2 linked regions of the Anolis sagrei genome follow. The protein of the gene in region 2 purifies or fractionates together with the protein of the main gene of each other region. This does not show direct contact. Links are inferred from orthologs where the notes say so. Each region holds a gene or a part of one and is shown on either strand. Other genes may lie near its edges.

Region 1 (7,663 bases), on a different chromosome or scaffold from region 2:
TGTGTTACATTAAGTTTAGTTTGTTGTTATGGTTCTAATTTGCTTGAATTGTTGTATTTCAAATTAAGTCCAAACAGATTTTATGGTATAGTATAGTATGGGGTATAATATTAGTTAAGCCTATTTTAATAGTAACTCTCAACCAACCAGAAACTGCATTTATCTGGCATCTACCAAACCAAATGGGTGCCAGTCAACTGAGAGTCTACAGTACTGTATTTTTAATCATTTGGTGCATGAAAGTTGGTGTCCATTGAACAATCAGAAAGTTAAGGTCTCAGCCATCCATGTGGAATGATTTTGGAACTGTCCAGTGATTTCAGCTCCCAAAGGACCAAATACAACAAGGAGGAATTGAAGGCAAGGAACAGAGGTGTTTATTCACCTTGACCAAAGTGGATATCTGTGCTCCAAAAACTGACGTAAGTGCAATTCCAAACATATGATTTATTTCTAGCACTGTGACAGCTGTTTGAAACAAAGGATTTTGCCACTCTGGCTACTGATTAGTCCAGACTGGAGCAAGCTAGGATAAGCTTACTGGTTTCTGGAAACTTGATGCCGTCTGCTGTTGACTGGATATGAGATTATGACTCGGCATTTTAGTCTGTTTAATAGATTGTTACATGTTTTAATTGCTTATATGTTTAGATTGCTTATATTTTTATGAGATGTGTTTTATTGTTTATCTGTGTGGCACTGAATTTTTGCTGGATTTATAAGTCGCCTTGAGTCTGCTCCCAGGTTGAGAAAGGTGGGATAGAAATGAAGTCAATAAATAAATAATTGACATGAAATTTAATAAAGTCTCATTGTTTGATTTGAAAACTGCTGGCTGGTTTTTACGCCACCAAGGAAAGGGGTACGGGAGGAAAGAAATGGGGGCTGGGTTGGTGTTAATGGAGCTGATAGCTCTGTTCATGTCCATCTGGAACAGGACAATGGGTTTTGGTTGGCGATATAATGGGTGCCAGGGGTGTTGGCACAGCCTCAATGGGGTCCCCAGGGAGGGGATGTGATCTGGCGATTAGAATTGGAAAGATTTCACAGATGCATACTATTTTGGAAAATCCCTGTGAGTCTTCTTAAATCCATTATGAGATTCTCGAGCTAAATGGTGAGACTTTCCCTAGGGTTTATGTGTACCTGCTTGTCTAACTTTGACAAATTCATTCGGATGCCACCTGAAAGTAGGGGAAAGTTTCTGGGTACCCTCAGAGTCATGGGTTTTGGTTGTCCTGGCTTTCAATAACAGAACATTTAAGATTTGGGATATGCAGGTCAGGGATGTCAACCTGTATTACTCCCAGCATTCTATTGATTTTGATTATTGGTTTTCTCCTATTATTGAATCTGATAATCTTCTACCAAACCCTGCTGTTTCCAGCAAGCCTTTCCACTCTTGTATAACAGTCATTTTCACTATTCTGTTACCTGGAGGGCCCCATCTACACTGCCATATAATCCAGTATCCGATTCCAGATAATCTACTTTGAACTGGATTATATGGCAGTGTAGTTTCATATAATCGAGTTCAAAATGTATAATCAGATACTGGGTTATATGGCGGTGTAGATCCAGCCAAGGACCATATAAGATTTAGGCTGAATAGAAACTGCCATATAATCTACCGTATATTCTGGCGTATAAGACTACTTTTTAACCCAAGAAAATCTCAAAAGTCAAGGGTCGTCTTATACGCAGGAGTCATCTTATACGTGGGAATAGTATATGTGGGAGTTGTCTTATATGTGGGAGTAGTCTTATACGCTGGGAGTAGTCTTATAGAGTGGGTGCTGAAATTTCCAATCCGGATTGGAGAATCTGTGGTTGCTGCATAATTTGGGGGGAACTCAAAAATGGCAGTGGCCGTGTCCCTGCCGTATGCAGCCACTGTATGAAAGCATTAAGGGCGACGCTGTACATGTACAGTAGAAGAAAATCCATTCATCAGGTGTCAATCTGTTTGTGTATACATATACAGTGATATGTGCATGTTTGTACAGGGAAACATGTAGATACATGTTACAATACAAGGCGCTGAACAGATAATCTGTTCACGAGATGCAGAGCCAACCTTCAGAAATGGGGCCACAAAGTGGCATCCACGACATGCAAGTGTGGAGAAGAACAAACTACAGACCTGAAATGCAACCTGACCCCCGCCACATGCACAATGGAGGACCTTCTTGCAGCAACACCAGAGGCACTCCAAGTGGCCAGATACTAGTCAAAGAATAATTAATAGAATACCAAGCCTGCAAACTTTGTGTTTTGTTTGCAATACAACTGTTTTGGTTCGCTCCTAACATGATAAAAAATGTACAATATAAGGGCTTAGTTTTTATTGTATTCATTGTGTATTATTTGTTTTGTATTATTATTTTTATAAACTGTTGGATTAATTCATAAATGATTTCAATTAATTCATAAATGACCAGCTTTCAAATTTCAGGTGAAGGGCTTTTTTGGTCAAATGTATCAGGAAGGCCTGAGTTCAAAACTCCAAACAGCTGTGAAATGCAATAGTCACAGGGTGCATCTACATTGTAGAATTAATACAGTTTGGCATCACTTTAACTGCCATGGCTCCAATGCTATGAGATCCTGGGAATTGTAGTTTGATAATGCAGATAATGCTGGCATGGCTGTGTCTTTTCACCGAATGCAACCAACAATATAATGGCATCTTTAATACATACATACATATACTAGCTGTCCCCTGCCATGCGTTGCTGTGGCCCAGTCTGTTGATCTGGAAAATAAAGTAATGAGAAAGTGTTGGTTTCTAATATATGTAATTCTTTTATGTTTGTGAGTAAACAGTATTTCTTGTTGTTTCTTTGTCAGTGTTGATGTGGAGAGTGTCTGGTTTGCCTACTCTGGAATATGCAACATATCATTGTCCTTCTTTAAGGGTCTCTTTCAAATCTGTGATACTATATCTGTGTGTGTGTGAGAGAAAATCATATCTATCTATCTATATTTATGACTGGATGGCTCTTTGTCGGGAGGGCTCGGATTACATTTTCTTGCCCTGGTGAAGAGAGTTGGACTGGATGGCCTTAAGTATTTTCTGTTGGTCATGGGGGTTCTGTGTGGGAAGTTTGCCCCATTTCTGTTGTTTGTGGGTTTCAGAATGCTCTTTAATTGTAGTGAACTATAAATCCCAGTAACTACAAATCCCAAATGTCAAGGTCTATTTCCTTCAAACTCCATCTGTGTTCATATTTAGGCATATGGAATTTTTGTGTTAAGTTTGGTCCAGATCCATCATTGTTTGAGTCCACAGTGCTCTCTGGATGTAGGTGAACTACAACTCCCAAACTCAAGGTCAATGCCCACCACACCCTTCCAGTGTGTTCTGTTGGTCATGGAAGTCTGGTATGCCATGTTTGGTTCAATTCCATCGTTGGTGGAGTTCAGAATGCTCTTTAATTGTAGGTGAACTATAAATCCCAGCAACTACAACTCCCAAATGTCAAGGTCTATTTCCCTTAAATTCCATCTGTGTTCATATTTGGGCATATGGAATATTCGTGCCAAGTTTGGTCCAGATCCATCATTGTTTGAGTCCACAGTGCTCTCTGGATGTGGGTGAACTACAATTCCCAAACTCAAGGTCAATGTCCACCAAACCCTTCCAGTTTTTTTCTGTTGGTCATGGGAGCCCTGTGTGCTAAGTTTGGCCCAATTCCATCATTGGTGGAGTTCAGAATACTGTTTGATTGTAGGTAAACTATAAATCCCAGCAACGACAATTCCCAAATGACAAAATCATTTTTTTTCTGAGTGGAGGACATAAATTGGACTGTTAGGTGTCTTGTGTCCAAATTTGGTGTCAATTCCCCCAGTGGTTTTTGAGTTCTGATGGTAGCACAAACTAACATTACATTTTTATTTATATAGATATATCTTTATTAAGTATTTACAAAGCACAAAAGCATTTTTTTTAAACCATGAGTATAAAAGAAAGGCTAAAGACCTTGTAAATGCTAAAGACCTTGTAAAACTACACCTCTCTAGTGTGTGTGTGTTTTTCAAACTTGAGCTCTACCAGCTGTCCAATCACGAGCTGAAGCTTCGATGACGTCATTCGCCCAGTGCCCAAAGGAAATAGAGGCTTGCCCCAAGGGACCCGGATGTACGTCAAGCTGCCTTTTAAAAAAATGGTAAACCTTTACGCTGATACTATTGGTTAGTATTTTAACCAATCAAGAGGGACTATTAGGACATAGGCGGGGAGAAAATAGGCGGCAGATGAGGGCAATCATTGCAAGGCATTATTGCGAAAGTGACAACCAAATTATCCAATCGGAATGAGAGCTCTTTTGAGCGACAGAACTCTTAGCCTATTGGATTCTAAGGACCCGCCTTTCCGACAGAACTCTTAGCCTATTGGATTCTAAGGACCCGCCTTTCGCTTTGCAAATCTCTCCGGATTCCTCCTGATTGTTATTCGCACTGTCCCCGTTTACTTCACCATCGGCGCGGATATGATTGGCCGTCGGTTTGATTGACAGCGAAAGCGACCAATGAGGTGGTGGGAAACGCCAACGTGAGGAGGCGAAACGTGAAAAAGAGGGCGTGGCTATGCTGCGCGGCGCAGAGGTGGAGGGCGGCGGGGACGCCATTTTGTGAACCATCCGAAGCGTGGATGTGGGAAACGTACCTGGTGCGAAAGACTGAAAGCTGTATATTACCAAATAAAGCGGCGGCGGCTTCGAGTCGGTGAGTTCGTGGCTCGGGAAAAGAAGCGCGGAGGGGGGCGGGGCCTGGAGGCTAAGAATGGTATCGCCCTTTCTAACCCGCCCCCCCCCCCTTTCAGCACCAACTTGGTATGCCCCATGTCAGCTCCCCCCCTTTCGAATGTTCCAACGTTGCACCCCTACTCTGTACAAATGGTACGTTCCGTTCTCATTCGTTCCAATGGCTTCTGGGAGATACCATAGCGCGGGAAAAGGGGGAGCGGGTGGGAATGAAAGAAAATGGATCCTTCTTCGATTTGAGCTGGAGGAGAATAAGAGGTTTCGAACGTTGCACCCCCGCTCTGTACAAATGGTACGTTCCATTCTCATTCGTTCCAATGGCTTCTGGGAGATACCATAGTGCGGGAAAGGGAGGGCGGGTGGGAATGAAAGAAAATGGATCCTTCTTCGCTTTGAGCTGGAGGTGGATGAGAGATTGGTGTTTTCAATTGGATTAGGAAAGAAATGGCATCACTGTTCATTACTCTGAGCGCAAAGGAGGCCCAAAGGTGTTTATACCACATCCTATGCAGTATCTTAATCCGGATTATGACACTAACACAGGCATAGTGTTTCTGCGGGATTGGATTTGGCAGAGTATATAATCATAGAGTTGGAAGAGATATCATGGGCCATCCAGTCCAACCCCATTCTGCCAAGAAGCAGGAAAATTGCATTCAAAGCACCCCCAACAGATGGCCATCCAGCCTCTGTTCTAGAAGCATTCTCTCCTGACGTTTCGCCTACATCTGTAGCAAGCATCCTCAGAGATTGTGAAGTTTGTTAGAAACTAGGAAAATTGGGTATATATATCTGTGGAAGACCCAGGGTGGGAGAAAGAACTCTTGTCTGTTGGAGCTAGGTGTGAGTGTTTCAGTTGGCCACCTTGATTAGCATTTGATGGCCTAGAATCATAGAGTTAGGGCTTCCAGTCCAACTCCCTGCCTAGAAGCAGGAATATTGCATTCAAAGCACCCCCGACAGATGGCCATCCAGCCTCAGTTTAAAAGCTTCCAAAGAAGGAGCCTCCACCACACTCCGGGGCAGAGAGTTCCACTGCTGAACGGCTCTCACAGACATAGAATCATAGAGTTGGAAGAGACCTCATGGGCCATCCAGTCCAACCCCCTGCCAAGAAGCAGGAATATTGCATTCAAAGCACCCCCGACAGATGGCCATCCAGCCTCTGTTCTAGAAGCATTCTCTCCTAACGTTTCGCCTACATCTGTAGCAAGCATCCTCAGAGATTGTGAAGTTTGTTAGAAACTAGGAAAATTGGGTATATATATCTGTGGAATATCCAGGGTGGGAGAAAGAACTCTTGTTTGTTGGAGCTAGGTGTGAGTGTTTCAATTGGCCACCTTGATTAGTATTTGATGGCCTAGAATCATAGAGTTGTGGCTTCCAGTCCAACTCCCTGCCAAAAAGCAGGAAAATTGTATTCAAAGCACCCCCGACAGATGGCCATCCAGCCTCTGTTTTAAAAGCTTCCAAAGAAGGAGCCTCCACCACACTCCGGGGCAGAGAGTTCCACTGCTGAATGGCTCACACAGTCATAGAATCACAGAGTTGGAAGAGATCTCATAGGCCATCCAGTCCAACCCCCTGCAAAGAAACAGGAATATTGCATTCAGAACACCCCTGACAGATGGCCATCCAGCCTCTGTTTAAAAGCTTCCAAAGAAGGAGCCCCCACCTCACTCTGGGGCAGAGAGTTCCACTGCTGAATGGCTCTCACAGTCAGGAAATTCTTCCTAGTGTTCAGATGGAATCTCCTCTCTTGTAGTTTGAAGCCATTGTTCCGTGTCCTAGTCTCCAGGGAAATAAAAAACAAGCTTGCTCCCTCCTCCCTGTGGCTTCCTCTCACGTATTTATACATGGCTATCATATCTCCTCTCAGCTTTTGCTTCTGCAGGCTAAACATGCCCAGCTCTTTAAGCCGCTCCTTATAGGGCTTGTTCTCCAGACCCTTGATCATTTTAGTCGCCCTTCTCTGGACACAGCTTCAAGTGTGGGGCCCAGAATTGGACACAATATTCCAGGTGTGGTCTAACCAAGGCAGAATAGAGCATGGGTAGTATGACTTCCCTAGATCTAGACACTAGTAAGGAAGTTCTCCCTAATGTTCCGATGGAATCTCTTTTCATGCATAAATCAACAGGCAATTTGAGGATGATTTGTTCCCAAGTAATAAAGATCTTGAAGTGGTCAGATGCTGTTCAGAAATTAGAAGTATCCTTATTCTTGGGTGAATATATTTGTGTCACATAGTCCTGCTAGGTTGTTGCAGCAATAAATAAAATGCCTGATAGGACCTTTAAGCCCAGTGCATCCTGCCTAAATTTGCGTGAAAGTAATCCTCACTAAATTCAGTGCAAGCTGATATCAGTTGCAGTAAGATTCAAGAGGATGGACCAGGAATGATTACGCAATAATAAATCTCCTAAGAGTTAAAAAATGCCACTGTGTAGCTTTTTCTCCCTCTCCATCACATTCCTTAATACAGTTTGAGCATCCTTTATTTGAAATTTTGAAATACTCAAAAATGGTCCATGTTGATGACTGAAATAGTGCCATGTTTGCTTTCGGATTGTTCACTGGATAAACACTTTGTTTGATGGATAAAAATATTTAAGGATGTTGCGTATAAAATTACCTTCAAGCTATAAGGTGTTTATGCTACAGAAGAGAACTTTGGGTTTGTGTTCCATTGTCAATGTATATCGAATCTGAAATGTTTCTAGGTCTTAACATCTTGGGTATAGGATACCCAGCCTTTAAAGAAAAGCAAAGAACTAGTTCCAAGATTTGGTATGATCCATTATTCTTCTTGTTCCTTTATGTAATCTTGAGTGATCTGGTTTTATTGGGCCAGTTTTGCAGGCTTAGCAGTGCGCAGCCCACACAGTGTCAGT
Region 2 (7,929 bases):
GCGGTGTTGTATTTCAGTGTCAATGTTGACGTTTGTGGAGAGGTGGCTGCCAAGGTAGCGGAAATGATCAACATTTTCTAATGTTATAATATAATAATAATAATAATAATAATAATAACTTTATTTTTATACCCCGCCAACCATCTCCCCTAGGGGACTCGGTGTGGCTTACAAGGGACACCCCCAAGATTACAATTAAAACACACATGTAAAACACTTTAACCAATTAAAACATCAGATAAAACAACAACACAATTGAAAGCAATATAATGTTACACCATTAAGCTGTATTTCTGGCATTGGAGAGGGATTGGCTGGTGACTGCTGGAAGAGCACTTTGGTTTTCTCGATGTTCAATGACAAGACGAGCTTCTTGTATGCTTCTGCGTAGGTGTTAGAGTGGCTTGTAGGTCTTCTTCTGAATGTGCACAGATGATGTTGTCATCAGTATATTGAAGTTCTATAGCAGATGTTGTTGTAACCTTGGTTTTAGCTTTCAGTCTGCTGAGGTTAAATAGCTTACCATCTCTGAGGATGCTTGCCATAGATGCAGGCGAAACGTCAGGAGAAAATGCCTCTAGAACATGGCCATATAGCCCGAAAAAACCCACAAGAACCTGTAGCTTACCATCTGTCCGATAGATGATTTCTACTCAGGTGGGAAGCTTTCCGTCAACAAGAAGAAGTATTATAGCATTGAAAATGGAAAATAAGGTTGGGGCAATAACACATCCCTGTTTGACACCTGATTCTACCTTAAATGGGTCACTTTGGGAGCCATTGCTATCCAAGACTGTTGCCATCATGTCATCATGGAGGAGGCTTCTCTCATGTTATCATCATCATCATTTAATTACTTATTAATCGCCCTCCATCCAAGAATGCTCTGGGCGATTTACAGCTAAATTGTAAAAGATAAAATACATACAAAAATTAAAAATTAACAGGGATCGAATGCTCTAGTAAAAAGCCAGGTCTTAAGTGCTTGAGTAAAAGGCCCTAAGTCATACATGGCTCTCATGTAGGGCGGCAAGGATGTATGTCCCAGCATGGGGAGCTGGAGCTGACAGAGGGAGCTCATCCACCTCTCCCCGGATTCGAACCTGCGACCTGCTGGCACAGGGGTTTAATCCACTGAGCCAAAAACATCAAATCATCTGGGCGTCCCCTGGGCAACGTCCTTGCAGACGGCCAATTCTCTCAAACCAGAATCGACTTGCAGTTTCTCAAGTCGCTCCTGACACGGAAAAAAAAAACCATGGAGGAGCCACAGGATGTTCACAAATTTGTTAGGGCACCGGATTTTTTGGAGGATGGTCGAGATAGCACTGCAATTCACTGTGTCGAATGCCTTTGCCTACATTTTTTCCTTCCAATCCTCATTGGAAAGTTACTCAAAGTATGGTATCTAATCTATATAAATAAAAATGTAATGTTCGTTTGTGGGATTAACAGTACTCAAAAACCACTGGACGAATCGACACCAACTTTGGACACAAGACACCGAACAATCCAATGTATGTCCTTCACTAAAAAAAATTGATTTTGTCATTTGGGAGTTGTAGTTGCTGGGATTTATAGTTCGCCTACAATCAAAGAGCATTCTGAACTCCACCAACTCTGGAATTGAACCAAACTTAGCACACAGTTCTCCCATGACCAACAGAAGGGTTTGGTGGGCAGTGTCCTTTGGTTTTGGAGTTGTAGTTCACCTACATCCAGAGATCACTGTGGACTCAAACAATGATGGATCAGGACCAAACTCTACACGAATACTCAATATGCCCAAATGTGAACACTGGTGGAGTTTGGGGAAAATAGAATCTTTTTTTTTTTTAAGATGTTTTTTTTTATTTTTTTTAAGGTTTTTTTTTAATTTTGTTATTACTATTGTATAATACATAGAAACATTCCATCTTTGAAAATAACATTCAAAATTACTATTGTATAATACATAGAAACATTCCATCTTTGAAAATAACATTCATAATACCAGTTTTTTCCCCAATCCCGCCACCAGCACACCCCCCCCCCCCCCGGAACAAATAGATACTTTAGCTGTGTTTATTACAATTGTTCAATCATGAGAATAGTTTTGTTCAACACCGTATATTTATCTTTCCCCTTTATTCTATATATGAGACCCTTCCATTTTGCTTTCCATGTCTTTTTGCTTTGACCCGTCATATAGTAACTTTTCCTTTCGCTAATATCATCTTGAAGAAGGTAATCTGCTAAATATTTGTACCAGGTTTTTGTATCCCATTTCTTGTGGTCTTTCCAGCCCAGGGCCACTGAGGCTTTAATTCCCTCTATCATATGTTTTATTATTTCCTCACTTTCCTTATATTCCTCTTTATTTTCGAATTTCTGAGTGAAAAATTGGGCCTTATTCCATTCTATCTTGATCCCTAATAGCTCCTCCATTTCTTTCCTGATTATTTCTTGGAACTTTTGGATTTTTTCACATTCCCACCACATGTGGGCATATGTTCCTATTTTACCACAGTTGTGCCAACATAATTTTGGGCATGTTTTTGTGATATGCGCCAGTTGCACAGGAGTTCTGTACCATTTTGTCAATATTTTTCGTTGCATTTCTTTAATCTTTAGGTGTTTTATTTTATTGATTGAATTAATCCAATTGTCTATTTCTCTCTCACTGCAATTTAATTCCTCCTTCCAGACTTCCATTAGGGTAGATTTTGTGTTGTATTGTATTTCGGTGATTGTGTTATATATAAATCCCATGATTCCTTTCTCCCTCTCTACTTTCCATTTTATTATTTTGTCGAGATTTGTTTCTGAGGTTTCCTTATTCTTCAATTCTATTAGCTTTTTAGACAGCCCTCCCCATTGTAACCAATTTCCATGCCCGCATTTATCTTTTATTTCCTCCCATTGAATTACAGTCCCGTCTGGTTTTAGTAAGTCCTCAATCTTTGTTATTCCGTTTTGTTCCAGTTTCTTTAGCATGTTGCGATATAGCTGGGGTTTTCTGTTGTCTAAGGAACCTATTGGGAGCTTGTCTATTTTATTTACTGGGAGTTTATTTTGCCATTTTGGGAAAATAGAATCTTGACATTTGGGAGTTGTAGTTGTTGTAGCTCACCTACAATCACAGAGCGTTCTGAACCCCCCAATGATACAATTGGACCAAACCTCCCACACAGAACACCCATGTGGGCCACAGCAACGTGTGGCAGAAGATGGCTAGTAAACTCTAAAAATATACAGAACTGTTAAGTGTTATGGCACTAGGTTCTTGTGGGTTTTTTCGGGCTATAGGGCCATGTTCCAGAGGCACTTCTCCTGACGTTTCGCCTGCATCTATGGCAAGCATCCTCAGAGGTAGTGAGGTCTGTTGGAAATAGGAAAGTGGGTTAATATATCTGTGGAATGGCTGGGGTGGGGCAAGGAGCTCTTCCCTGCTGGAGCTAGGTGTGAATGTTTCAACTGACCACCTTCATTAGCATTTGAAGGCCTGGCTGAGCCTGGAAAAATCTTTTGTTGAGAGGTGTTAAGATGTGCCTGATTGTTTACTCTCTGTTGTTTTGCTGTTGTAATTTTTGAGTTTTTTAATACTGGTAGCCAGATTTTGTTCATTTTCATGGTTTCTTCCTTGCTGTTGAAATTGTCCACATGCTTGTGGATTTCAATGGCTTCTCTGTGTACCCTGACATGGTGGTTGTGAGAGTGGTCCAGCATTTCTGTGTTCTGTGTTCTCAAATAAAATGCTGTGTCCAGGTTGGATACTGTTGGTTCATCAGGTGCTCTGCTATGGCTGATTTCTCTGGTTGAAGTAGTCTGCAGTGCCTTTGCTGGGATTTATAGTTCACCTACAGTTAAAGAGCATTCTGAACACCATCAGCTATGGAATTGAGCCAAACTTGGCACACAGTTCTCCCATGACGAACAGAAGGGTTTAGTGGGCAGTGTCCTTTGGTTTTGGAGTTGTAGTTCACCTACATCCAGAGATCATTGTGGACTCAAACAATGATTGATCAGGACCAAACTCTACACGAATACTCAATATGCCCAAATGTGAACACTGGTGGAGTTTGGGGGAAATAGAATGTTGAGATTTGGGAGTTGTAGTTGTTGGGATTTATAGTTCACCTACAATCAAAGAGCATTCTGAACTCCACCAACTATGGAATTGAACCAAACTTGGCACACAGTTCTCCCATGACCAACAGAAGGGTTTGGTGGGCAGTGTCCTTTGGTTTTGGAGTTGTAGTTCACTTACATCCAGAGATCACTGTGGACTCAAACAATGGTGGATCAGGACCAAACTCTACACGAATACTCAATATTCCCAAATGTGAACACTGGTGGAGTTTGGGGAAAATAGAATCTTGACATTTGGGAGTTGTAGTTGCTGAGATTTATAGTTCATCTACAATCACAGAATATTCTGAACCCCACCAATGATAGAATTGGGCCAAACCTCCCACATAGAACCCCCATATGGGCCACAGCTACGCGTCGCAGGGGATGGCTAGTAAACACTAAAAATGTACAGAACTGTTAAGTGTTATGGCACTTTTCTGGCTATTGTTCGTGCTACAGGAGACTAACAGTAGGATGGCCACTGTGGAAACAAGACAGGACTTAACAGAGGCTGGATGGCCATCTGTCAGGCGTGATTTGAATGCAATATTTCTGCTTCTTGGCAGGGGGTTGGGCTGGATGGCCCATGAGGTCTCTTCCAACTCTTTGATTCTATGATTCTACATCTCTGAGTGGTTGTGCAGAAGAGACCAGTGTAGTTCCACCTCCGTCCACCCGGGGCGCGCTTTCCTCCCTGAGTGCAGACACGCCTTCCTAGGCGCAGTGAGGTGTACGCATGCGCGAAGCGGTTGCCGCCATCTTGCCACTCTGTGAGAGCTGGCGTCGGCAAGAAGAGAGCTGCTCGAGGTGGAAGGCTGCGGAGCTGGCTTGCGCTTGAAGCAAAGCTCTCCCCAGCAGGACTAGGTGGCGGGCGTGCCTCTGGTGTGTTGATATTTGGGGTGCAGAGCCTTAGCAGGAGGGAGGGAACGAGGGGCGCAGGGGAATGAAAAGGCCGGGGAGAATGTGCGCATGCGCCAGAGTGCGGCCCGCCTTAGCTAGTGCGCATGCGCGTGAAACTAGGGAGCCGGTAAAGGGACTATGGCAAAAACACGCAGGCGCAGAAGTTGAGGGAGGCTGGAGCTGTGCATGCTGGGTTTTTATACGCCGGCCTCAGGTTTCCTCAGAGGGTGGATTTCCCTAACTGTGACCCCTTCCACACAGCTGTAGAAAATCCATATTGAACTTGAATATATGGTCGTATGGACTAATAACCCTGTGCAAAGCCGACATTGTGGATTATTCTGGATTATATGGCTGTGTGGAAAGGCCCTGAGGACTAATAAACCTAAAATGATCAAGGGTCTGGAGAACAAACCCTATGAGGAGCGGCTTAAGGAGCTGGGCATGTTTAGCCTAAAGAAGAGAAGGCTGAGAGGAAGGCCCCACGACTCTGGAACTCTCTCCCTGTGGAGGCCAGAACCGCCCCATCCATCCTAACATTAGGAAACGGGTGAAGACGTGGCTGTGGAGTCAGGCCTTCGAGGAAAGAGACAACACCATAGGACTCTGGATGGAAGTGGATATAGATCCATCTTATTAGGACGACTGACCACTGTAGTTTTATATTTAGTGTTTCTAAAGTTGTTTTGTAATTTGTGATATATGATATTTTAATGAATGTATATGTTTTTATGGCTGTAAACAGGGCTGAGTCCTTCAACGAGGTTGAGAAGCTTGGTATACAAAACTGAAATAAATAAATAAATATGATAGCCATGTATAAATATGTGAGAGGAAGCCACAGGGAGGAGGGAGCAAGCTTGTTTTCTGCTTCCCTGGAGACTAGGACGCAAAGCAATGGCTTCAAACTACAAGAAAGGAGATTCCATCTGAACATGAGGAAGAACTTCCTGACTGTGAGAGCTGTTCATCAGTGGAACTCTCTGCCCCGAAGTGTGGTGGAGGCTCCTTCTTTGGAAGCTTTTAAACAGAGGCTGGATGGCCATCTGTCAGGGGTGCTCCTTAAGCCGCTCCTCATAGGGCTTGTTCTCCAGACCCTTGATCATTTTAGTCACCCTCCTCTGGACACATTCCAGCTTGTCAATATCTCCCTTGAATTGTGGTGCCCAGAATTGGACAAAATATTGCAGGTGTGGTCTAACCAAAGCAGAATAGAAGGGTAGCATTACTTCCCTGGACCTAGTCATTATGCTATTGATGCAGGCCAAAATCCCATTGGCTTTCTGTGCCACCACATCACATTGTTGGCTCATGTTTAATTTGGTAGCGGGGTACAAATAAAGGTTTATTATTATTATTATTATTATTATTATTATTATGTGTGGAAAGGCCTTGAGGATTAATAACCCAGTTCAAAGCCGATATTGTGGATTTTTCTGGATTATATGGCTGTGTGGAAAGGCCCTGGATGCTTTTCTTGTTTGCTCTGTCAGGACAGAAAAACCAAGTCACAAAGGCCCCTTCCACACAACTGAATAAAATCCCATATTTTGTGCTTTGAACTGGATTATATGGCAGTGTAGAACCCAGTTCAAAGCAGATATTGTGGGATTTTCTGCCTTGATATTCTGGCTTATATGGCTGTGTGGAGACACTGCGTGACAAGAAGTCCCCTCATAGGACACATTTGGAGGGGGCCCTTCTACACTGCCATATAATCCAGAATATTTATTTATTTGCAACATTTATATGTTGCCCTTCTCACCCCGAAGGGGACTCAGAATGGCTTACAAGTAAAAAGTAAATACAATATATTATATTGCTATCATAGCACAATATTAATATTATATATTACATTGCACGGTAACATTATCCTGTAATATTATTAGTAATATTACATTTAATATAAAATATATAATCCACATTATCTGCTTTGAACTGGATTATCTTGAGTCTACATTGCCATATAATCCAGTTCAAAGATAATCAGAATTTTATACAGATGTGTAGAAGGGGCCTGGGAGGGAAACAGTGATACTTGGTTTTACTGTATTGATGTGAGGCTTCCTGTTTTGCATTTAGAGAAGAGCAAAGTATCATTTATCTGGGAATCCTTCTACACTGCCATATAAAATTGAGATTATCTGCTTTGAACTGGGTTATATGGCAGTGTAAAAAAAATGTAATCCAGTTCAAAGCAGTTAACGTGGGTTATATGGTCGTGTAAAAGGGGTATGAGTAGAAGAGACAAGCGTGCCTCCTTTCAGTCGTTTGCTGTTGGCTTTGTATTGGATGGGGAAGGCAATGGAGAAGGCATTTTAATTATAAGCACCTGTGTTTCAGTCCAATAAGTGTGGTTTTTTAATACAAATCTTTTGCTGACTGTTGTATTTGAATCCTAAGGTCCCATCTACACTGCCATATAAAATTCAGATTATCTTCTTTGAACTGGATTATGTGGCAGTATATTCATATAATCCAGTTCAAAGAGAGAATGAGGATTATCTGATTTGAAAATCTGGATTATATGGCAGTGTAGATCCAGCCTAAATTTCCTAGCCATCTAAGGGCCACAATTTCCTCATTTTATATTATATTTCCCAAAGTACACTTCAATCCTAGTTATTCTCTTCTAGCTGTATTTCCAAATATTATACTATAGGGTTATTGCAGACAGAGTATCCCTTCTCTGAAGCCCCTTCCATACAGCTGTATAAATCCACTTTGAACTGAATTATATGGCAGTGTGGACTCAAATAACCCAGTTCGAAGCAGATATTGTGGATTATCTGCATTGATATTCTTGGTTAAATGGCCATGTGGAAGGGCCCTGAAATGCAGGGTACCTTAATGTACCTTATACACATATACAATGCTTAAAGGTTAATGTATACAACATTTTAAAAGAAACACAGT

Evidence for each region. Proteins that work in one complex are often made in the same cells at the same time.
Region 1: the proteins of DHX9 (region 2) and HNRNPC purify together in Homo sapiens (affinity purification with western blotting; 5 studies listed by BioGRID and IntAct, with this or other methods). This does not show direct contact. The link is inferred for Anolis sagrei from reciprocal best matches to the Homo sapiens genes DHX9 and HNRNPC.

What each region holds. Positions count from the first base shown.
Region 1 is NC_090026.1:11,145,559-11,153,221, forward strand, and holds the start of HNRNPC (heterogeneous nuclear ribonucleoproteins C1/C2), read left to right. Parts: upstream 1-4,591; 5' UTR 4,592-4,731; intron 4,732-7,663. UniProt on the Homo sapiens protein: Binds pre-mRNA and nucleates the assembly of 40S hnRNP particles. Interacts with poly-U tracts in the 3'-UTR or 5'-UTR of mRNA and modulates the stability and the level of translation of bound mRNA molecules. Single HNRNPC tetramers bind 230-240 nucleotides.
Region 2 is NC_090024.1:123,122,535-123,130,463, reverse strand, and holds the start of DHX9 (ATP-dependent RNA helicase A), read left to right. Parts: upstream 1-4,846; 5' UTR 4,847-4,995; intron 4,996-7,929. UniProt on the Homo sapiens protein: Multifunctional ATP-dependent nucleic acid helicase that unwinds DNA and RNA in a 3' to 5' direction and that plays important roles in many processes, such as DNA replication, transcriptional activation, post-transcriptional RNA regulation, mRNA translation and RNA-mediated gene silencing.